4 linked regions of the Arabidopsis thaliana genome follow. The protein of the gene in region 4 purifies or fractionates together with the protein of the main gene of each other region. This does not show direct contact. Each region holds a gene or a part of one and is shown on either strand. Other genes may lie near its edges. The genes, in order: AT2G25355, AT4G32175, MCM3 and AT1G63210.

The links.
Region 1: the proteins of AT1G63210 (region 4) and AT2G25355 fractionate together in Arabidopsis thaliana (co-fractionation; one large-scale study listed by BioGRID). This does not show direct contact.
Region 2: the proteins of AT1G63210 (region 4) and AT4G32175 fractionate together in Arabidopsis thaliana (co-fractionation; one large-scale study listed by BioGRID). This does not show direct contact.
Region 3: the proteins of AT1G63210 (region 4) and MCM3 fractionate together in Arabidopsis thaliana (co-fractionation; one large-scale study listed by BioGRID). This does not show direct contact.

The regions. Positions count from the first base shown.
Region 1 is NC_003071.7:10,799,385-10,804,268, reverse strand, and holds AT2G25355 (PNAS-3-like protein), read right to left. Parts: upstream 3,179-4,884; 5' UTR 2,879-3,178; coding exon 2,828-2,878; intron 2,736-2,827; coding exon 2,661-2,735; intron 2,420-2,660; coding exon 2,333-2,419; intron 2,137-2,332; coding exon 2,080-2,136; intron 1,736-2,079; coding exon 1,643-1,735; intron 1,332-1,642; coding exon 1,259-1,331; intron 1,140-1,258; coding exon 1,064-1,139; intron 975-1,063; coding exon 884-974; intron 801-883; coding exon 678-800; 3' UTR 547-677; downstream 1-546. Other genes in the region: AT2G25360 (RING/U-box superfamily protein), read right to left, coding at 1-20; AT2G25350 (Phox (PX) domain-containing protein), read right to left, coding at 3,571-3,912, 4,036-4,278, 4,399-4,563, 4,681-4,884.
Region 2 is NC_003075.7:15,533,435-15,538,126, reverse strand, and holds AT4G32175 (PNAS-3-like protein), read right to left. Parts: upstream 2,694-4,692; 5' UTR 2,573-2,693; coding exon 2,522-2,572; intron 2,439-2,521; coding exon 2,364-2,438; intron 2,228-2,363; coding exon 2,141-2,227; intron 1,766-2,140; coding exon 1,709-1,765; intron 1,328-1,708; coding exon 1,235-1,327; intron 1,125-1,234; coding exon 1,052-1,124; intron 968-1,051; coding exon 892-967; intron 804-891; coding exon 590-803; 3' UTR 525-589; downstream 1-524. Other genes in the region: PANK2 (pantothenate kinase 2), read left to right, coding at 1-55, 155-226, 311-403; CYP96A2 (cytochrome P450, family 96, subfamily A, polypeptide 2), read right to left, coding at 2,835-4,355.
Region 3 is NC_003076.8:18,769,112-18,775,294, forward strand, and holds MCM3 (Minichromosome maintenance (MCM2/3/5) family protein), read right to left. Parts: upstream 4,593-6,183; 5' UTR 4,496-4,592; coding exon 4,433-4,495; intron 4,338-4,432; coding exon 4,237-4,337; intron 4,049-4,236; coding exon 3,840-4,048; intron 3,741-3,839; coding exon 3,610-3,740; intron 3,518-3,609; coding exon 3,279-3,517; intron 3,205-3,278; coding exon 2,968-3,204; intron 2,867-2,967; coding exon 2,712-2,866; intron 2,599-2,711; coding exon 2,390-2,598; intron 2,306-2,389; coding exon 2,146-2,305; intron 2,060-2,145; coding exon 1,863-2,059; coding exon of another isoform or gene 1,851-1,862; exon of another isoform or gene 1,780-1,850; coding exon 1,720-1,779; exon of another isoform or gene 1,633-1,719; coding exon 1,543-1,632; coding exon of another isoform or gene 1,531-1,542; exon of another isoform or gene 1,451-1,530; coding exon 1,248-1,450; coding exon of another isoform or gene 1,244-1,247; exon of another isoform or gene 1,158-1,243; coding exon 938-1,157; intron 848-937; coding exon 791-847; 3' UTR 538-790; downstream 1-537. Other genes in the region: KASI (3-ketoacyl-acyl carrier protein synthase I), read right to left, coding at 5,328-5,395, 5,478-5,544, 5,616-5,765, 5,865-5,978, 6,088-6,183.
Region 4 is NC_003070.9:23,441,728-23,447,873, reverse strand, and holds AT1G63210 (Transcription elongation factor Spt6), read right to left. Parts: upstream 4,187-6,146; coding exon 911-4,186; intron 838-910; coding exon 520-837; downstream 1-519. UniProt on the Arabidopsis thaliana protein: Transcription elongation factor that enhances the transcription elongation by RNA polymerase II (RNAPII).

The sequences.
Region 1 (4,884 bases), on a different chromosome or scaffold from region 4:
AACCCACGAATCAGTGCCATGCTCTCTACTTCTATGCAGCTAATCTTAGTGTCGCTTAGTGATTCTTTAATCTCATACAACAAATTCTCCTTCTCATCGCAAATCGCAACTCTAATCCAGACTTCACGGTCTTTTCCTTACCTTCCACCACCAAACCCTTGGTGTACAATCTGTAGACGACATTGTCTGAAAACTTCTTCACAGCAGAGTCGGATAGGACGACTGTAGAACAACCCTCGCCTTTAGGGTTTGGGAAATCTCCGGTTATGGTAGAATCTAGTCGCCGTTTTTAGTAACTCAAGTCTTGATCGCGTCTCTCCATGTCGTTTTGGTTTCAAGTAGGAAAATCTGAAGACTTATATATAAGAGAGAAGTTGTCAAATAAATTCTTATTAATTGCTTTGCTATGAAGGCACCGTAATGTTTGTAACTGTTATTGTATTGGTATCGATTGATTTTTCAATTAATATTGCCAAACCCTAGTTCCTCTAATCCATCTCCCAAAACTTATCAATTTATCGTTAGACGAATCATGTTGTTTCTTTTAAATTTTAATCTTGGTTTGTTTTTATCTCAAAGAGAAACATATGAGTGTAGTCTACATACTAAAAAAAGAGATGCGAATTAAAACGTTTCTTTTATAAAGTAGTGATACTGTTAAGCATACAACACACTTTTCAGTCTGAAATTTTCTCCAGCAATTTCTCTACCATGATTCTCTGTTGTGTCCCGCTTAAAGTTTCAGAATTCATCAACGCATTGGCGACGATAATCACTATACGAGGAGCAGCCGCATGCACCTGAAACCAGACAGAAGATATTAACCATGCGATTTCCAGTTGCATTGTTTGGATTCTTAAGAAGCAATCACTGTTTTTCTTACCCAACATCTCCCATTTAAGCCAAACGCAGTCTCAAACGAGAGTTTCTTTCCAAGAGCTTCAAGGACCGGGCAAGTTGGTGAACTCAACAACCTAATAAGAACAAAGTGTAAGAGTGAGAAAAAGTCGAGAAGAGGCCACTTCATCTAGAAGAAAAATAAAGGAATAAGAGTGAAACTCACATTCTAGATAAACCAGTTGAAGTTTCAAACATGAAACCATCTTTTAAGGGACCAAATCCTGCAGCCTTTCCACTTTCTATTACATTGTCCAACAATTCTAGTCAGCAATTGCTTAGTCTAAACAATTAATGCGGAGAAACAAGGAAATGATTTAACTTTTTAAACTTTGTGAGAAAAAAGAATGGATGGACTAACCGTCTACACATGACAGCTCCGGGTTCATTCCTGTGTTTGTCTTCACAACCCGAGTATAAAGCAGAGTGCTTACCTGTATCAACAAATTGTCACAACTCCCAAAAACACGTGATCACTATGTTATCACTTAATACAGCGAATCCACTTGAAATAGAGTTGATGAGCTCAACTCCAGACGAAGTAAAAGTGCCTATTATGCTCATAAACAAACCAATGAAGTACTGGATCCTTTCAATATCACACACAAGCCATTGTAATTTCCAGGGAAATTCTCAATACACTGTAATGGCAATACTAACATCTCAAACAACTGAATGCAGTTACCAGCTAGAGACTATTTTGATGATGGTTCAGATTGAAGAAGTATATTCAGAAGGTACTTGCCTCAAACTTGGGATAATTTCTTCTGTTTGCTCCTTCAAATGCAAGCACAGGCAAAAGAGCCAATTGTGGTCCTTTAATGTCTATCCAATAGTTCTGCAATGAAACATGTGTCAAAACGATTTTCAAAATATTATGATCTACTTTGTTACATGCAACATGACTTTGGCTGAGAACTCTAGGGGCAACACTCTAAATAAAGGCTTATGCCGTTTTCTTTATCCATGATCTCAAGTATTTATTAACATATACATGTAACTAACAAACAAGCTGAGCAATGATAGAAGTTGGATAATGATAGAGCACAACCGAAATCAATATTCTTTATACATGATTTTTGCATTAAATGAACTGTATACAGAGAAAAAATGCTTGATTCAGAGGGTCCAAGGGAAAAGGATCTCTAACAAAAATTTAAGGATCGTCTTTAGAGTACTTACTTCTCCTTTACAATCTACCACAATGCCAAGAACATGATCCTCAGGACGAGGTACATACTGCAAAAAAAACATAATAACAGAGTCAAAATCGAGTAACATGGAGTAATTCTTCAAACTAGAGAGCAAAACCACCACTTTTTCGACAAGTTAAGCGCAGATGAACAATCGAATAACTAGTAGAGCTAGGAGATATCAGGAAAAAGGTACCAATTTATTGCAAAATACAACCAGCAAGAAACTAATTAGTTCTCACCCTTTTATGAGAACTTTCCACCCAATACTTATTTGGCTTAGAGTACCTCAACTTCCCAGCTCTCATAACAGATATCACCTCATTATCCTGAAAAAACCTCAAAATCATATGTCAATCTTCTAGCCTTGCAAGCCCAACAAAAAGCAAACTGTAGATTCCAAATTAAGTTTATTCCTCAAATGCCAATGCAAGATCCAAAATTCAACATAACTTGTTTAATAATGAGCAAAACATTCATTAATTCATTCATACACTCAACACAACAAATTTCAAACTCCAAAAAAATGATCGAAGATTTGGAACAAGTGATTTTGAGAAAGTTAAAAACCTGACGGAGACCACTGCCGAGTTTGATTGTTTGGTTAGTCATGTTTGATAAATCGAGAACAACATCACCTGGAACCTGAAACCCATCTCACAAAACTTAATCTTTCAATGTAATCCCAATCTAAAACGATAATCAAAGAAGCAGAGGTTTTAGTAGAAAATACGCACAACAGTCTGATCAATGAGGCTTGTCGGCGAGGTAGAAACTTCAGTACCCATCTTTCTTATTTCTTCGCTAACAACACCAATTGATTTATCCAATGAAGGGAGACAGAGCAAAAGCAGAACTGAGAGGTAGAGAGAAAGAAGAACCCTAAAAAACACTAAAACCCTAAAGTTTTTTGCTTTGGTGATGTTGAAGACGATCGGAAATTAAAAACTCCGAACCAAGTAATTTACTATAATGGTTATGAGTGGTTTATTTCGGTTTAGTAGATCCATATGATTTGGTCAACTAAAAAGTCTCCTTCGTCCTTCCTTTTTTTTTGGGACAAAATGACACTTCTTTCACTGATTTTCAACGACTGCTCTGTGGACCATGAGTGATGGATGGTAGTTGTTTTTGGTGAACAAGAAACAATGACACTGATGGTTTCGAATTTTACAATGGATTAGGTGATCTGATGTAGACATGTGTGTGCATATACATCAATTAATTACATAAAGAAGAATCTGACTCGCATATTCAAAATAAGGGATTTACGTCACTAACCAACTTTCTGCTCTACTTTTCTCTGTACATGGTATATCTATTCTATAAGCTCTTCACCTTCTGCGTTTTTCGTTTTCCTCTTTCACAGAGCTCTTAACCTGCATTGCGGAATTCAAATGTTTTCTCAATTTGATATTCTCCTCAGTCCTCATACATATCTGCCATTATCTTCCTCAGCTCATCCTCAGAAGCAGTCTCATCAAACCCTAACAGCAGTTGCGCCTGAAAATATGCCACTTTCAAATTTAAAACGAGGAATCCAGCTTGGCGATTTTGAGCCATGGTTATCGAATGTAAACATTTGAATACGATTTTTCTTGCTACAGATATTAAAGGAGATGCACCAATAGCTTACCTCAATCTGATCTTGCAAGGCATTTGATACTTCAGATAAGTCTTCTCTGTTGTTACTGGACTCATCCATTGACAAGTTTGTGTTGTTCACTTTAAGCCTGTCGTGGAGAATTTCACAGTCACTATACAGCCTTCTTCTTGCTTCTAGCGTGTTCTCGACTATTATCCTTTCCTGTTGGAGGAGTTTCTGAAAAAATTAAACATGTTTCAGTATGTTTTGATGTTCTTTCTGTAGGATCATATACATTTACCACAAGCGGATGATGCAAGCAATAATATAATGCTTTTTATTTACAAGCTTAAGATTTACCTCAGTGTCAGACTTCTCTGTCAGCGATCGAGTCAGTTCCTTTTCCATTTCCATATGTGAACGTCTCAGGGATTTGACCTCTCTGACAAGCACTTTTATGTCTGCCTTTGATTTTGCCTCCAGTTCAACATACCGTCTAGAAAGATCTTCCAGTTGCTGTTTTGTGGCATCCATTTCTTGTAACAGCTCATGGCTCTCAGAGATTGTTGAGTTTCCTGACGTCTTAGAATCTGAACTCCCATCCTGTATTAGTTTGCAGGTGTCAGTAAGTTACTTTGCTAGATATAAATTACTCGCTCGATGTGAACTTGCTTAATTGTGGAAAGAATGTGATTGAGATGGAACTATTTCAAATTTCAATACCTCTTTTGACTTTAACTTCAGTTCCATCTCAAAAGTTTTTTGCCTGAGTTCTTCCATATCCCACTGCATCTTGGTAACACTCTGTCTCTCGGTCATCAAAGCTTGCTCCAAATTCTCTTTGTTTCTCTGTTTAGTAGTTTCAAGTTCCACTTCCAGATCATCAACCTGAACAGGAAAACCAAGATTACATATATGACATTCGCATGAAGAGTAAAGGAAGAAGCGCAGATTTCATTACCAACAAACTTGAAAACAGATGTACTATTATTTTCAATCATGTACCTTTCTGTTCAGATATTCCTTCACCGCTGTCTCTTGATTTAGTCTCGCTATAAGATCCTCCATGTCTGTTTTTGAATTGAGAAGTCTCTCATTCATAGTTAATAGAATCCTATTTAATTTACTATGCATTTTCAGCGGGAGAACTATTCGTCCATTACCCGGTATCTCCAGGTTACCAACAGATATATCATGATTAACATCCAG
Region 2 (4,692 bases), on a different chromosome or scaffold from region 4:
CGACCTCAGACAAGTCAGCTCTGAGCTTGCAGCCGCTGCCAAAGACGCTGATCTTGTATCTACAAAACCTTCTCTGTTTTCTACCTGACATAAACTTCAAACACATCAAAAAAGAGAAGCTTTGTTCTTTATTTGATGTTTAACAATATTGCAGGTTGTCTTGGAAGGTATGGGAAGAGCACTTCACACCAACTTCAACGCTCAATTCCAATGCGAGGCTCTCAAGGTTTAAACCTCACTTGACAGAAAATTTCAGCTCTAGAACTGTTATTGAAACTTTTGGCTGAAACCTTCTCTTCCTTTTTGGCAGCTAGCAATGGTTAAAAATCAGAGATTGGCTGAGAAGTTGATAAAAGGAAACATATATGATTGTGTATGCAGATACGAGCCTCCCTCGCTTTAACAATGTTATGTATCATTTCTTCAACCTTTAGACTACTGTTGTATACAGATTAAGCATTCGTCATGTGGCATATGTATTTTTATTTAGACTACACTTTTACTGTATAAAATTGTATTTGAATGAATCAAAATCACTTGCTATAAAGAGCATCATGAGGGTTCAGTTACATTTCAAGAACAATAACGTTTAGTCTGAAATTATCGCGAGCAATTTCTCAACCATGATTCTCTGCTGAGTCCCACTTAGAGATTCCGAGTTCATTATTGCATTGGCCACGATAATGACTATACGTGGAGCTGTCGCATTTACCCAAACTCTGCCATTTAAGCCCACAGCTATCTCGAACGAGAGTTTCTTTCCAAGAGCCTCAATGACCGGGCGCGTTGGTGAATTCAACAGCCTATAAGAGATGAGAAAGTAAAGTTGTAATGGCGAAAGAAGATAGATAAAGTATAAGGAGACATTTTTTATGAGGAAGTATATCTCACATTCTTGAAAGACCAGTTGAAGTTTCAAACATGAAACCATCTCTCAAGGGTCCAAATAATGCAGCTTTCCCACTAGCTAATACATAGAAACAAGAGACAATTAGTTTAAAAGGGATTAAGAGAAGCAGCACTGTTTTAGCCTCCAAAGCTTTTAACTTACCCTCGGTACAAGACAGCTCCGGATTCATTCCTATGTTTGTCTTGACAACCCGGAGATAAAGCAGAGTGCCTACCTGTTTAGTACACAAAAATTTGAACATTCCAGAAACAATCAATTCATAGAGAATGTCATATCCCAAATGAGAATTCAAGAGAGCTTCCTGAGTCATCAGAATGTACATGCCTCAAACTTGGGAATATTTCTTCGTGTTCCTCCTTCGAATGCAAGAACTGGCAAAAGTGCTAATTGAGGTCCTTTAATGTCCACCCAAAAATTCTGCAATGACATGATGAGTAAAAGAAACAATTCAGTACTTACTAAGGCGATGTTAGTTCATGCAAGAAAGCTTAACTGCAGCTGATAATTTAAAAGTCAATTAACATTTGTTTGTCCAATAATGGTATCAGTTTTCTTCTGATTTTAGACCATAACTTCAATACTCCCACCTATTTATTTACTGATCCAAGACCATCAACAAACAAGTTCACCTTTATTGGCTCAGAGAAATGAGGACTGAAGTCGCGGAAACTGACAAACATATATTTGTATCGTATTTGACAACTAAAGTATAATAAAATGCTTTCAGAGATGACCAGTCTGAGAGGGATCCAAAAACAACACAAGAATCTATACAAGCAATGATTTCAAAGGACTTACATCTGCCCTAGAATCGACCACGATTCCAAGAACATGATCATCAGGGCGAGGTATATACTGCAAAAAAAAAACATAATAACAGAGTCAGCAACAAAGAGAACGAGACTTACATAGATAATTAACAAAACAATATTCTACTAGAGTTTTGAAAACCAAAAATGGTAAATTGTCTTATCAAGCCAGATGTATATGATCAAATAACTAGGGAGAAAACTAGCAAGAATGATCCACAAAAGCATCAAATTGTCAAAATGCTACAAAAGGCAAATCTTCAATTCTTCATGATGCAATTGTGCCAGGTTATTTGTTACTTTTCTACTCATGATTAATCAAGTGGACCTAGTATCCGAGCAGATGACACAGTTATAATCCACAAGAAGCTCAATAGAGAAGCAACCAGAAAGGGAAGATTAGTAAGACCACTGAGCTCACCCGTTTATGAGAACTTTCGAGCCAATACTTATTAGGCTTGGAGTAACTTAATTTGCCAGCTCTCATGGCAGAGATAGCATCATTATCCTAAAATAAGCCAAAAAAACAAACACATGTCAATCTACAATTCCTTTTTAGTTGCAATTGTATATCACAAATCAAGTGCCCACTGGAATAATTGTTAGGATTCAAACAACACATAAGAAAGAGAAGAAGATGAAACCTGAAGAAGGCCACTTCCGAGCTTGATTGTTTGGTTATTCATGTTTGACAAATCAAGAACAACATCACCTGGAACCTAAAAATTGAAAACACCATGCTTCATTGTAACCAAATCGAATCGAAATCATAAAAAAGCCAACTTTTTAGAGATATACGGACCACAATCTGATTTAAGAGGCTTGTGGGAGAGACAGAAACTTTGGCAGCCATGAGTGAGGTGGGTTTTGGAGATAAGAACCCTAATATATGTTAAACTCTGTTAAAGCTTGTTCCTTGACGACGATGAGAACCCAGAAAGGAACAACACTGCACAGTCTCTTCTTTTTTTTGCACGCAAATTTTGAACCAAAACTATACCGAACCAGTCAATATTAGGATTTCGGTTTACTTAAACCGTAAAACTAAAAAAAAAAACTAAGAACCAAATCAAAACCAAACCAAAATGATTTTTTTATTTAATACATGAATAATTTCAAGCAGAACATCTCTTAGTAACAGTGATTTGAAGACCATGTTTCATTGACAATATAAAACCAAGAGCTGGCACAATCTTCTGTCCTTGGAGAACCTTAATGTCGTAGTTTCGTAATATCTCCACTGCCACTATCTTCATTTGAGTCATAGCTAGATGTTTACCTAGACAAGTTCTTGGACCGGCATTAAACGACAAAAACTTGAAGGAAGGCTCATGTTTTATGCCTCCATTCTCCGAAATCCATCTCTCTGGCTTGAACTGCGATGCATCTTCTCCCCAAACCGCTCGCATCCTCCCCAATGCATAAAGACAGATAATAATCTTAGAGTTTGCATCAACTTTATGGCCACTTGGAAGCACATCTGATTTGATTGGAGACTTGCGTCCGAAGGAAACTGGTGGGTAGAGTCTCATTGCTTCACACAACGCACCATGTAAATACACCAACTTGTCTACATTCTCTTGGCTATTTCCTGTTCTTGATAGATCAGTGTTGATGTTGATCTCTTGATGAATCTTGGCTACCACATGTGGATTTTCAGAGAGAAGCCAGAAGAACCAAGAGAGAGCGGTGGCTGTTGTGTCTCTTCCCGCTAGAATGAAAGCTAAGATGTTGTCTCTAAGGAACTTATCGTCACTCGGATTCAAGAGCTTGTACTTGGTCGTGTCTAGCTTTATGAAGGAAGTTAAAAGATCCTGACTTCCTCCATTGGAAGTCCCTTGTGATCTTTTAATCTCTTCTCTCTTGGCTGATATGTATTTGGCACACACGCGGTCAAAAGTTGCATTAGCTTCAGTGAGCTTCTTCTCTTGTCCGAATCCTATCCAGTTTTGCAGCTTCCACAAGAACCTTGGTTTAAAATGCCTATAAAGAATCCCTTCTCCAACATCGTCGAGAGCTTTAGCAAATTCGTCTTCAGGCATTTCAATGGAGAGAGATCTAGGATCAGAACCAGTTACAAGGATGAAAATTGTATCGAAAGTGAACCTCCCGAAGACGCTTTGCAAGTCAAGAGTTGTTCCTTCCTCAGCAAAATGATTAAGAAGGGGAACAAGACCGTACTTGAGTTTACTTGTCATGGTACTCATTGAAAACCTTTGAAACTCTTGACTATGGAGCATGGCTTGATAAGATTTCCTCATATTCTTCCATAGCTCCGAGTCCGTGGTGATGAAACTGTCTCCTAACACATCAAAAACATCTTGGAACTCCGGTCCTTTGATGTAGTTTGAGAAATTTGAGCTCATTATATGATGAATGTTAGCTGGATCAACCGTGAGCAACATATCCATTCCTGTGAACCGCGGTCCTTTGAATGGAAAGGTCAAGTCAGAGGTTTCGAGAATCTTCACGCTGTAGTCGTAGATTCGGTGAAGCGCCTTGAGCATAGCGGGTAGCATCCGGAGAACCGGCCAGTTCCTAGGGTACCGGCCATGAGGTTTCTTGAAGAGAAAGTAATGAAGGATGAGAAAGCAAAGGATAGCTACGGAAACTTGAAGTAAGCTTATTGAAGCCATTGGAGTAAGGCAATTGATAACACACAGTTTGCTGACACAATGAGAACTAAATTTATAAGCATACACTTCAGGGCACAAGTAAGGAGATGCTTTTTAAAATACACACTAAATTTCGTTATATGCACAAACTGCAAAGCACGTTTAATGCATGTATATCATCAAATTAGAAACTTGTATTAAATTGCCAATGACACCTAACTTTTTATTTTTGTGATAATACACCTAAGTGTTTCAATAATTTGAAAACTGTTATAATTGCCCCTTGTAACTTTATCAACTAATCAAAACTTATTGAAACCATTAGAGAATGAGCTGGATTCACGCACATAGACTTTTG
Region 3 (6,183 bases), on a different chromosome or scaffold from region 4:
TTAAGAATTTAGAATTCTTAGAGTGGAGACAAGTTTCTCTTGCTCATGGCCTTAACATTTCTGAGAAGCTCTGGTCTGAATCAGAGACATGTATGGCCTAACTACGTAAGTTTATTTAGTAACTCAATTGTTTTGACTAGGGTTGATAGAGAAACGTGTGCAGTAACCTACCAAAATAGATTTTGTTATTTGGCAACAAAAAAAAAAATAGATTTTGTTGTATTACTCTGTATACCAAAACTGATTTCAATCCGTCTTTGTGGAATTTAACCTGATTATATGTACAATTTTAGAAACGTATAGGATCCATCATGGACAAAGCAAACATGTTTTGGAAAAAAAAAAAAAAAGTAATAGAGACCAAATGGAAAAACATGGATCTTTTAGACGAGAGAGTTCCAAGGTAGTGATTATTAGGGTTTTGAAGTTGGCTTATATATGGCACAACTCTATTCTTACCATTGGGTTAAAACAACATATACACTATAATCTTGATGTCGATTACATATGTATAAAATTTGGCATAAACAGCTCAAGAAATTATAGGATAAATATGAAAGTATTTTATTCTCGGATTGTGCTTTTCGTTATAAATTCCAAATTTTATAATCAGATGCGTTTTTTTAAGCATTTTATCATCAGTTTTACTTCACTAGTAAATGCAAAAAACATAACGTATGAATAAAGATTTTACAAAATGATATTTTGGTTTCCAAGAGTTTACTACTACACTATTTTTGAGTTCTAATATGATGATGATGATGCAATCAATATTGATTTCTTCATATGATCAAATGATATGAACTTTGCCATCGCTGATCATCACTTTGTTATCATCTTGCAGTTTCTGCATAAAATCCACAATAGAGTAAAGTTATGAAGATATTGTATAAAAAGTTAAAGAATGAGAAAGCTTGTCTCTTAATTTGTGAATTACCTCTAAGAGAGCCATAATCTCATCTGCAGAGTAACGAGATGCTCCAACCCCATTGTTGTTGACAACAGTCTCTATATCTGCAATAGAGATGTCATCGAGCCTGTGTGTCCTCATGTGCTGCCCAAACACTCGCTCAAAGGTTTCAATCCTTGCTGCAGAGACCGTGCCGCTGAATTGCTCTACAGAAGGTTCATCTACTTCCATTGGATCTGCTGTTTCACTGAATGGACCAGCAAAAGAGAAAGAAAAAAGTATAAGGGTTGAGAAAGCTGTGATATAGGTTTCCATGGAGGAGATCAAATTAGTTTACCTGTCGACATTTGCAGTGTCATTCTCTGCTCCATCTTCATTATTCCTGCGTTGGTTGCCTCTACGTCCACTTGGTGTTCTTTCTTGTTCAGCTTGTTCCCTTTGACGTTCTTCTTGCTCACGATCATCCATCTCAGTTAATTCTTGATGATATATTGCAAAGTTCATAAGCTTCAAGGCAGCCTCTGCATCAGCTTTAGTAACCTTTCAAAATAAAGTTATCACTTTAGAAAGAATCTGAATAGAACATATTCACGACCAGGTGGGGAAACAGAAGATTTGAGTTAGATTGTTACCTCGCTACTCAACTTCATTTTGGCATGTGCCGTAGCAAGACGAATTATTGTCTCTAGAGTTCTGGCTGTTATCGGAAGCGTACCTCCAGTCTGCAGAGATTTCGATGGTTGTGTCAAATACAAGTTCCCAAGACGAAAAAGATACAGTGTCCAATGTTATTTTATGAAATAAATTACCTTAGTATCGGAACCTGCATTTCTGAGATCTGCATATGCTTCTGCAATACGTTCCGATGCCTGCAAATTTAATAACAAAAGAGATTTAGTGGAAGAGATTATCAGATACATAAAAATTTATATATTTGAGTTCACTGTCTCACTTCATCAGTGAGCTTTGGTGTAATACGGTGCTTGGCGTAATGAATGTACTTCTTCAAGAACTTAATCGTAAGGGTTTTATCATGTGTTTGGCCTCTTTTCTTCTTCCCATGTAGTGTTTGGTTATACTTAACAAACATTTCACTCTCAGCATTGTCTTCTCTCGCGTAAGGCAAGCTCCCATCTGGCCCTGCCTCACCTATGGTTCACTCAAAAGTCAGATGCGTTTCAAGACATGGGTTGTGAAATGTTTAGTAAAACATAGAAGCATGATTTGTTTCCTACCTCTATCGTTCTTGTAACGATGCATGCGCAAGACATGTTCTGAAATCATGCTGTCGATACCAGCATCCATTTGATCCAACACAATAAACAGTAGATCAAAACGAGAAAGCAGCGAATCTGGAAGTCCAATGTTCTTTGTTGGAGTCAGTGATCTGTCATACTGCAGGAGCAAGAGTAGGTATTAGGACAAAAAAATACTAGTCAGTAGAGTAAGTAGATTAGGAAAACTTCGGTGAGAACTTACAGTTCCGTATATGGGATTTGCAGCTGCAACCACACTGCATCTAGCATTCAGTGATGCATGGATACCGGCTTTTGCAATTGTTACAGTCTGTTGCTCCATCACTTCGTGTATAGCAACTCGGTCCTGATCATTCATCTTATCAAACTCGTCAATGCACACGATACCTTTATCAGCGAGGACCATTGCACCAGCTTCTAGTCTTCGTTCCCCTGATGAAAATGAGAATTTGATTTTAATGAGAAATAGCACTTTTGACCTTCCTTCAAATTTTGATTTTAGCATTTGATAAAAAAATGTGGAAACGCTTTTGTGTGCTTTTTACCTGTTTCTTGGTCAGAAGTCACAGCAGCAGTTAACCCAACACCGGAAGAACCACGGCCTGTGGTTGATATAGCCAAAGGTGCAATATTCATTATCGCTCTCAGAAGTTGAGATTTGGCAACAGATGGATCACCAACCATCATCATGTTGATGTCTCTGAAAGCACAAGATTTGTTTTCAAGTGAAGAAAGAAAAATGAGTTAGACAAAAAGTATCCAATGAGTCGAATCTGAAATCTGTTTTCAAGCAAGACTTACCCCCTCAAGTGGGTTCCGTTCTTCAGGTTCTTTTCAACACCACCAAGCATCAGTAAAACTACTGCTTTCTTTATCCAAGCGTGCCCATAAATAGAAGGTGCTAAGGAACGAGCAAGGAGATCAAATGCATCATCTCTTCGTGCAATATTTTTAATGTTATCTAGGTCTTGCTTAGTGTATATAGGTGCATTTGCTTCTTTATTGAGCAGAGCGATATTATTGGCTATGAGGATAGTCCTACACAGAAAGAACTCGGTCAAGACTATCAGAGTGAAAACATCTTGAACTAACAGATGTGTAAGAAAACGCACCTAAAGACTCCATTTACACTACCCTTGCTTTTTCCAGGAAGAGCTTTGTAAATACCGAAAACAGATACTCGATCTCCTGGCTTGCATGAGTCAACAAGGTCATCCTCAGCAATGACATCAACGCTTCGTGGAAGCTGACCAGGAGCAGCATTTTCAGGCACTTCTTGAATTGACAAGGTCTGGTGATCTTTGTATTTGCACAGCCCATACTCAGTCACCAATAAGTTTCCCTTATCATCCTGAACAAAAAAAAACTCAATCTTCAGTAAGAGGCAAATCTTCCAGCAGTACAGGTAAATGAACAAAACGAAAACAAAAAACATGTAATTACCCTTGTGGGATAGACAGAGCCAGTGGGTAAACCAGCGTGAGATGTTATGTCTCGATAATCTCGATTGGTAAATTCACCGGTTGATGGACAAAAGTGAACGCTTTTAACAACCTTTGGCCTCACAAGAGAGCCTGAAAGCAAAGCATGTGTCAGAGGTTCAAAATCTTCTACGTAAAACACAAAGGAAACAGAAGAAAAGCAGAGGAATAGAGTGAAAATGATGAGCTTACATTTGGTGACAATGCCCTCAACACAGACCATAGATCCAATAAAATCAGAGAGAAGCTCTCTAGGAGTAACAACGCGAGAAACAAAATAACCTTCAAAACCAACAAGGACAAGCTCTCCTTCCTTCAAGTATTTAGGGTCAATAGCACGAGTAGCTTCAGTGGCTGCGTCACAAAATGACTGCATATACTCATTTGGATTCTTCAGTATCCTATCCAAAAAAACCAAAGCAATCAACTTTAAGGTCACAAAACATATGACAATTGTAGTGAATCCTTAAAAATCCCCAAATTAACCTCACTGAATCTAACAAAACCCTAAAATCTGCCGTAAATTCATAACCTTATACTAAAGAACCGATTAAAAATTCGAGGAAGACAAATTGAGAAGATGACGAACCTAGAGGCAACTTCCCTGAAGTGGTGGTGAATGTCAGAGATATTAATAATGAGACGGTGACGCTTTTGATGTACCAAAGCCTTGATTTCCTCCATATACATCTACACAATCCGTAAAAAAAATCCAATTTTTCAAATTAGATAAGAACAGAAGCTCGAGAAATGTCTGGTGAGAAAAGTGATAGAAATCGACTTACACTATCGAGGAACTGGATAAAATCTCGCTTGTGGCGAAGCCTCGTCTCCTCTGGCACATCCATTTCTTAACAAAATCTGGGTTCTTCGTAAGAACTTTTCTTCTTCTACTTAAAAAAAAAAAACTGATTAGAGATTTTCGATTTCCGATTTCGAGAGGCATAAAGGGCGGATCTTCTCCTTATGGCGGGATTTCGTGAGATAACCTGTACCCTTTTTGGCGGGAAGGGTCATTTTGGGCCGATATTAGTTGGGCCTTTCGTCTACGTGCTTTTTGATTAACCAAATTTGGGCCGGTACAATTTTGGACTTACGTCTACGCGCTTGTTTGGCGCGTTTGATTTCCTCAAGGCGGTATAATACACCCAGATTCTAAACCAAAAACCAGACATACCAAATCAATTCATTGTAAATTCGGTTTAACTTTTGCTACTGCCTTCAAGCCAGTAAACCGAAAAATGTATATATGAAAACCAAAATAAACCTGTGTGATTTGAGAACATTTTCGGATGTATCACAACATATGTATAACTGAAAAAAAATTCAGTATAAATCTAATTTCTTCGAATGTAAAAACACGACAAGAATTGTTGAGAAATAAAAGATGAGAATCCCCTAATTGGATTATTCTGACAATAACACCGTTACTACAAGATTCTCTCAGTTTCTGTTTTTATAAATTACGCAAATATGGAACGAACTAAGATACACAACATTCCGCAGACAAGAGAGAGAACAAACAAAATCTGAAATCTCAGCAACCGTAAGAAACGGGGAATGAAAGAACCGCAAAAGGCCAGAGGAAGAGCTCCAACTTGTGAACCAAGAAGCTGCAAGTGGTGGTGATGGATGATGATAGTAACCGATAGGGCAGAGAATCTAAAAGGTATGAAGAAATCAGGGTTTGAAGGCAGAGAAGGCGACTACCGAGTTGTGTCCACCGAACCCGAACGAGTTTGATATGGCTGCAGCAAAACAGAAAGACATTAATCAGTGAAACTGTTGCCAGTTTAATCCAATGAGAAGGCGGTCATGTTTGTCACTTACCAACATCAACCTCGTGTTGCTTCTTCTCGTTTGGGACCGTGTCAAAGTCCACAGCTTGTTCTGGGTTCTACAATGAGAAAACAAAGAGTGTGAGAGTCTAATACAATGACCAAGTTCAAATCTTGCAACAGTTCAAACTGAAAGCGGAATCAAAGAAGCCTTTTCTTGACTTCCTGTTATACGTACAAATTGGTTGATGGAAGGATGCAGCCATCCAGTGTTGATAGCCTTCACGGTGGCGATGGCTTCTAGACCTCCAGCTGCACCGAGGCAGTGACCTATCATAGACTGTAACAGAAACTGTCATTCACAGGAAATGCAAAGCAAACAAATACATTGAAATAGAGGAGAAGAAGAACACTCAATCATAGAGCATTGGGGACGAACCTTGGTGGCGTTGATTTTGATCCCTGAAGTGCTCTTGAATACCTTTTTAATGGCATTAATCTCAGCAAGATCACCAGCAAGAGTGGAAGTTGCATGTGCATTGATGTAATTTACCTGAAAAACGTGGAATGAATATAAGTAGGGAAGTAACACGAATCTAATGAAGAAATTTGTTTCAGATAGCCTTAAAACTTAGGAAGCATGAAAAGTTTGTGTTTTTTACCTCCTCAGGTGATACACCAGCATCTTCCAGGCATCTTTCAATGCATGAAGAAACCCCAAGACCATCAGCTCTTGGATCAGTCATATGGTGAGCATC
Region 4 (6,146 bases):
GAGTAGGAAAAAGTAAATTGACTCATGGCGTAATTGAATTGTCAACATAAAAGTCACTGATATAAAGTTAACTATACTAAAGTAGCTCTTGTGCTTGAACCAAACATCAGCAAAAACCATACCTTAAAATCAATCTGCAAAAAAAAAAGTAAGAGAACATCATTAGTTACATAAATGAATCTAAAAACAATCATTTAACCCAAAAGTAACGGAAAAGAAAAACCCATGAAACAAAACAGAGATGTTAGAATTGAAAACAACACTCTGTCCGCAATAAACAAAGCTAACTAATTAAATCTTTCGTCTCTTCACATTTCTTGTGGGATCTTTCACACTTTTGACGAAATTTAAGTTGAATACTTGTATAGTTCTACTAAACAACAGACCTAATTAACGTTCCAAAAACAAAACTATTATTTCCCATATAGGTTTCTTGCAAAGCAAGCAATCAGTCTAAGAAATTCTTTGGGCTAAGGAGTGGAAAAATTCATGAATACATGATAAATAGTACCTTCAAGTTCATTGATTATCGATATGTCTCTTGAAATAAGCAGCCAGTTTATCAAGATCCCCAAACATTCTTTTCCTGAACTTGAATCCCTTAGGGTATAGACCGATGTACTCGTGGTGCGGATTTGCGGATCGTATGTAAGACAATATAAAGCTCCCTGGATGTTCATGAGAAACACCAAAACTGTAAACTACCATTTTCGGATTCACACCCTTCTCAACCCGAAGAAGATCATCTATTTCCGATTTTGTCCCAGTCCGAAATTTCCGGTGGTTTAGCATTGTCATAAGATGAGTTACCAAAGGATCAACATACCGATCCATTACCTGAAATATTGAAAACGCATAAGTATTTTCACTTGTACCAAAACTGAAATTTTGTAAGAATATAAAGACGAACCTCATCTAGATCCTCGAAGGTTTCATTCCCAATTTTCAGTGTTTTCCCAATACGTTGTAAGCTCACTATATCTTTGTTCTCCTTCTCACCTTCGATTATCTCCTTGTTAGCATACACATTATCAGAAATCTTGATCATCAAAGTCAAATGATTCAGTCCTCGTGAGCTTGGACGAACAATGCTTTCTCCAATATTCTTATCAGACAAATACACTGTTGCTTGCTCGGCAGTGATGTTCTGAAACCGAGGATGAACAATCATCCGAGACTTAAACTGCTTCTTTTCTTTAGGAACTTTCTCTTTCTCTATCAGGACACTATTTCGTTTCTCCTCGTGGTAATAATCATCGACATCCCCGAGATTCCTGTGCTTTCTCATTTCGCTTTCTTTGCAGACAAGTAACACATGATACCTTTGCTTTAGAATCGATTTGACCTTGCAAGTAACGATATCGCCTTCACACAGTTTGTTAGACAAATCAACGATATCTCTACCATCATCTGAGTAATCTTCCTTCAAGAGAATCCCAGGTAATCCACAATCTAATACACATTTGGCTTTACCACTTGTCACTTTCTTAACAGTGGCCTGCACAATCCTCCCTTCACCAATAGTTTCTTTGGTTTCACCTGAAATCATATAAAACTCCTCATCTGAATCAACCTCTTTAAACAGACTCCGCCAATCCTGAAATCCACAGCTTAATTCTCTCATGATCAGACTATAAGTTTCCTTCTTATTCTCTTGGTTCTTGCTTCTCAAGTACTCATCAAGAACGATTTTCCTCAAAGAAGCTGGCTCATCTCTCACATGCTCTATCGCCATCTCTATTGCATCATCCTCATCACCTCTTACAGTATCATGAGCATAAACATCTTTCGCCAATTCTTGCGCAAGACCGTATGATTCGGGATGTATTCTAGTGTCATCCAACAGATCAATAAATTGGCTGCTACTACAAGCCAACCCGCTCCTACGAATCCGTAAGAAACCAGCTGCATTTACGAATACCTTTTTACCAATCCCATGATTTATCAGTTCCTTGCGGACAAATATCGAACCAGCTCTAACAAGAGACTTCTGCAAAGATGCAGCTTTCCTAGGACCAAGACCTGAAACAAACTGTAAAGGAGAAAAAAGCCATTCATGGCTCGCAGCCAGATTAATGTCGATTCCAACTTGATTCGTTATGTCAACCATAACTTGTTCAACCATCTCATACTTCTCATCTGGATCAAGAAAATCTTGAAAAGAATGAAGCTTCCAAGACAGAATATCTCTACCTGGACCGCATAAAGTTGAGATCATTGCTAATGGATTCTGGAGATAACGTCCAAGAGAAACTGCGCGTTTCACAATTCCTGCTTGTTGAGGTAGTTGTTCACTTGAGATTCTAGAATTTTCGTATAGCCTAGGAAGAGATTCATCCGCATAAACCAATGGAAAATCATAAATCCTATCATCTACATAATTCAACGGCAGCTCTTCCACCATTTGGAATATAGCCTCATAAATCTCATCCTTCAGGCGTACACAACTCAAATTAACAGCTGCTAAAGCCAAAACATCTGGTTGATGGTCTCTTATAAACTTTAGAAAACGATCTTGATCCATTTTTTTACGTTTCTGGTCATTTACATCCCGAGACCGCAATCCAATGGAACCTGAGTAAAGCACATCAACCAGCTCTCCTGATGAATCAAGCATCACAAATGTAGTTTCTGGATTTCCAGGTCCCCAACAACAAGCTAGGACCCTCGGTGCAGCTTCCTCCTCCGAGGTATTATTATTCCTTCGATATGGCCCTGAAGACACTTTGTTCCATAAAACCTGTCCATACTCTGAAAGCAACTGAGTCTTCGCTCTGCTAGTTAGCAAGGATCTTGCTTCTTTCTCCATTGACGGCAAAACAAAACCATGAACCGCATCCTCCAGTATCAATTTCCTCTGCTCGTTCCAGAGTTGAGCATACTTACTAACACCAACACTTAGATAGTGTTCACTGCATTCACTAATTATCCTATTCATCTGATTCTCAGGCAGCTTGAAAGTTACTTGAAGAAGCTTCTCCTCTTCTGCTTTCTGAATGAGAAGCCATTGTACACCATCAAACTTTCTCAATGGCTTCTCGCTTAACCACTTAACCGCAGAAAACCGATGGAAGGAATCTATAACCACATTCCCATCTGGTGTTGGACTCGTTGAGACTACTGCATTCTCCATAAAAATTCCACGAACATACTTTCTAATCGATGGCTCGCAGCTTATCTCAACCGCAGCCATATGCCTTGCACCTTTAAGAACAGCTTGAGAATCTCCAAACATTGCACACTCATAGTTCAATGCCATCTCCTCTGGTGTTTTCTTTGCATCTTCAAGCTCATCAACAAAAACTTTCTCAAGAGACAACGCTAGTCCCAATTGCTCAGCGCTATAACCAAACTTGTTTGCAAATTCCTTAATCCCAAATTTGCTGCAGATGCTATATTGCGATTTCCTATTCGGCCTCTTGTACTGTCCTTCATCGATCTCACAATGAGGAAAATGCAAGTTGAACTTTGAGTCTACATCATCAACTTCTCTCTCTGTCTCCGCCGCTTGAAGAGACTTAATAACAGATTCAAAAAGACTCTTATTCAGATCAGACATGCAGGTTTCTTCTTCAAAACGTTTGGTATAGTAACCAAACAACGCGGTTTTCCTTTTCCGCAGAAGAACCCACTTTCTATCCAAATCTTGAATCATCCACAAGACTTTATGCCACTTGGTCTCAAGCTTCTTGTCAAGATTGAAATCACTACCATCATGATCATCATCAGAACTGTCCAATAAACTCCGACACTGCTCCTTCCGATACATAGCTATAAACGGTATCTCTAACTTCTGCACATGAAACATCTCTAAAAACTTCACAATGTCATCCTTATTAATCAAACAACCCTGCCCTTGTTCTTGAAGCAATCGAGCATAAATCCAGTTGCTCTCTTCTTGAATGCTCATGTCATCTAGGGAAACAATTCCAATGGCTTCTTCAAATATCTGCATTCTCTCAGGAACATCAAGCTTCCTAATTTCATCATCTTTCTCCGTCATATACTTCTCAGAGAGAACCATTGGTTCAAACTCATCTTCTAACTTTCTTTCGATCTTTTCGTTATACTTCAAATCCTTTTTCCGAAGTTTCAACAATTCTTCAGGATCACCAAATACATCATTAGCGTATCGTAAAGCGTTCGAATCAGTTCCTTGCTTATATTTCATTTTCTTCCTCCTCATTCCTTGAGCACCATGATCATCTTCATCTACAATGAAGTGACTCAAATCATCATCATCATCATCATTATTGATCTTATCCTCTTCCTCTGAAGATTTCTTCAAACGTTTATACTTGTTTCTTTGGAAAGTGTCGTTGTTATCTTTAAGAAGTAGATAATCATCTTCGTGAAGAGTAAAGGATTCGTCTTTCTTCCTTCGACTTCTACTCTTTTTCTCACTACAATGTCTCTGTTCTTCTTCTTCTTCTCCATCATCAGAACCATTCACTAAAAACCCATCGTCAAACTCATACTGATCATCTTCGTCTTCATCATCTTCCTCACGGTTCTCCACTGGATCTTCATGAATCTGGGGCTCTGTCTCAAAAACAGAGTCGAATCGTTAGAAAAATAATAATAACAGAGAATTTAGGGCTTTTGAAAGCAGAGCTTTTTATGTACCTTCGTCGATCCTATTCATGACTAGGTTAGAATATTTAGCTATACGAAATCGATGAAGATGGAGATCAACCCTAGAAACTCTGTGATCGTAAAACTAGTCTCTATTTGATTCTGAATTTTGCGAAGAGAAACAAAGAAAAAGGCTTTTCGTACTTCTAGGGTTCACACCAGCATTAAGAGGCTACTAATTGAAGTTTTGAAGCATTTCTTATTTTTAAAAATATTTATGAAACTCTTTTTTTAGCTGATATTTAATTAATATATTTGGTATTTTTTTCGATTCATTAAGAGATTTATTTTTCATATTCATACAAATTTATATTGATAATTCTTTTTTCCACTAATTTTTTCATTATATAAACTAATGATAAAATATATAGGTGAAATATATTTTTAAAATATTAAACCTATAAAAAACAAAGAAATTCTCGAAAACTAAAGCAGAATCTACCGAAAACACTTAATAAAATTCATAGCACAAAAAACCATAACAATTAAGAATTGCAAAACAAAAAAAAAAAAAAAAAAAAAAAGATCAAGCAAACAACGGAGGATGGGATAATGAATCCTAAGAACTGAAAAAAGTAAAGAAGCAAACCAGACCGACGATCACTTGAATCAATAGAAACCGAGTTTGAGCCAAAGACAAGTGTTTAGAAGAGACTGCTAGATCACTAGAAGCACGAACCAATTAGAAACTCTAGCACAAACAGCACCAAACCGGAAGCAAACGCCAGACTGATCAAAACTACAACGGGCACTCACTCCCCCAACACCAAACCAAATTACTATTGATAATTTCTTATATCACATCTTTTGAAAAAAGGATTTAATTTAAGCCTAGTTATTAAGGCGCTTAACGTTGCCAAAAAAAAGAAATTATTCTATAAAATTAATGATTTTTAATTTAAAGGTTAGGTGTTTCTCTAGACTTAAATTATTTTCTTACACGATAGAATACTTAGAGGTTATTTCTATTTACGAAAAATGAGAAAAAAATGGAAAAACCAAACGGACTGAAATCACATGGAGTTTGTATATGCATTATTAATTCATGAAAAGAAGTGTCTTGAATTTTCAACCATTTTACTTTTGAAAATCACACTCAACAAAATTAGCTTTTGGTATAAGTATTTTTTTTTGTTGAGAAATTCGTGAAGACGTGTCGTTGGGTGGGTTCCAATAGATATTGTTCTAATATTGGCTAAAAGGTGTCCAAAAATAGAGTGATTCTGCAGAATATATTAGTATAATCATCTCCACTGGATAACCAAAAACAATATTGTTTGTTACATCGTTTCTCTTTTGTCATCTTATGCTATCACATGATGATTTTTTAAAAAGTGATGCAAGTTTGTAACCCTCTATGTTCACATGCTACGTACACGCAAATTTTGAAAGCACGGTCATTCAAGAATGCAAAACGTGTTGGTGGTCGAGAAGGCCGTGGACCCGTGGTCATTACAATTACTCAATTAGTGTTTTCTAGTAATTTAGAATGCACATGCACTCCCCCTCTT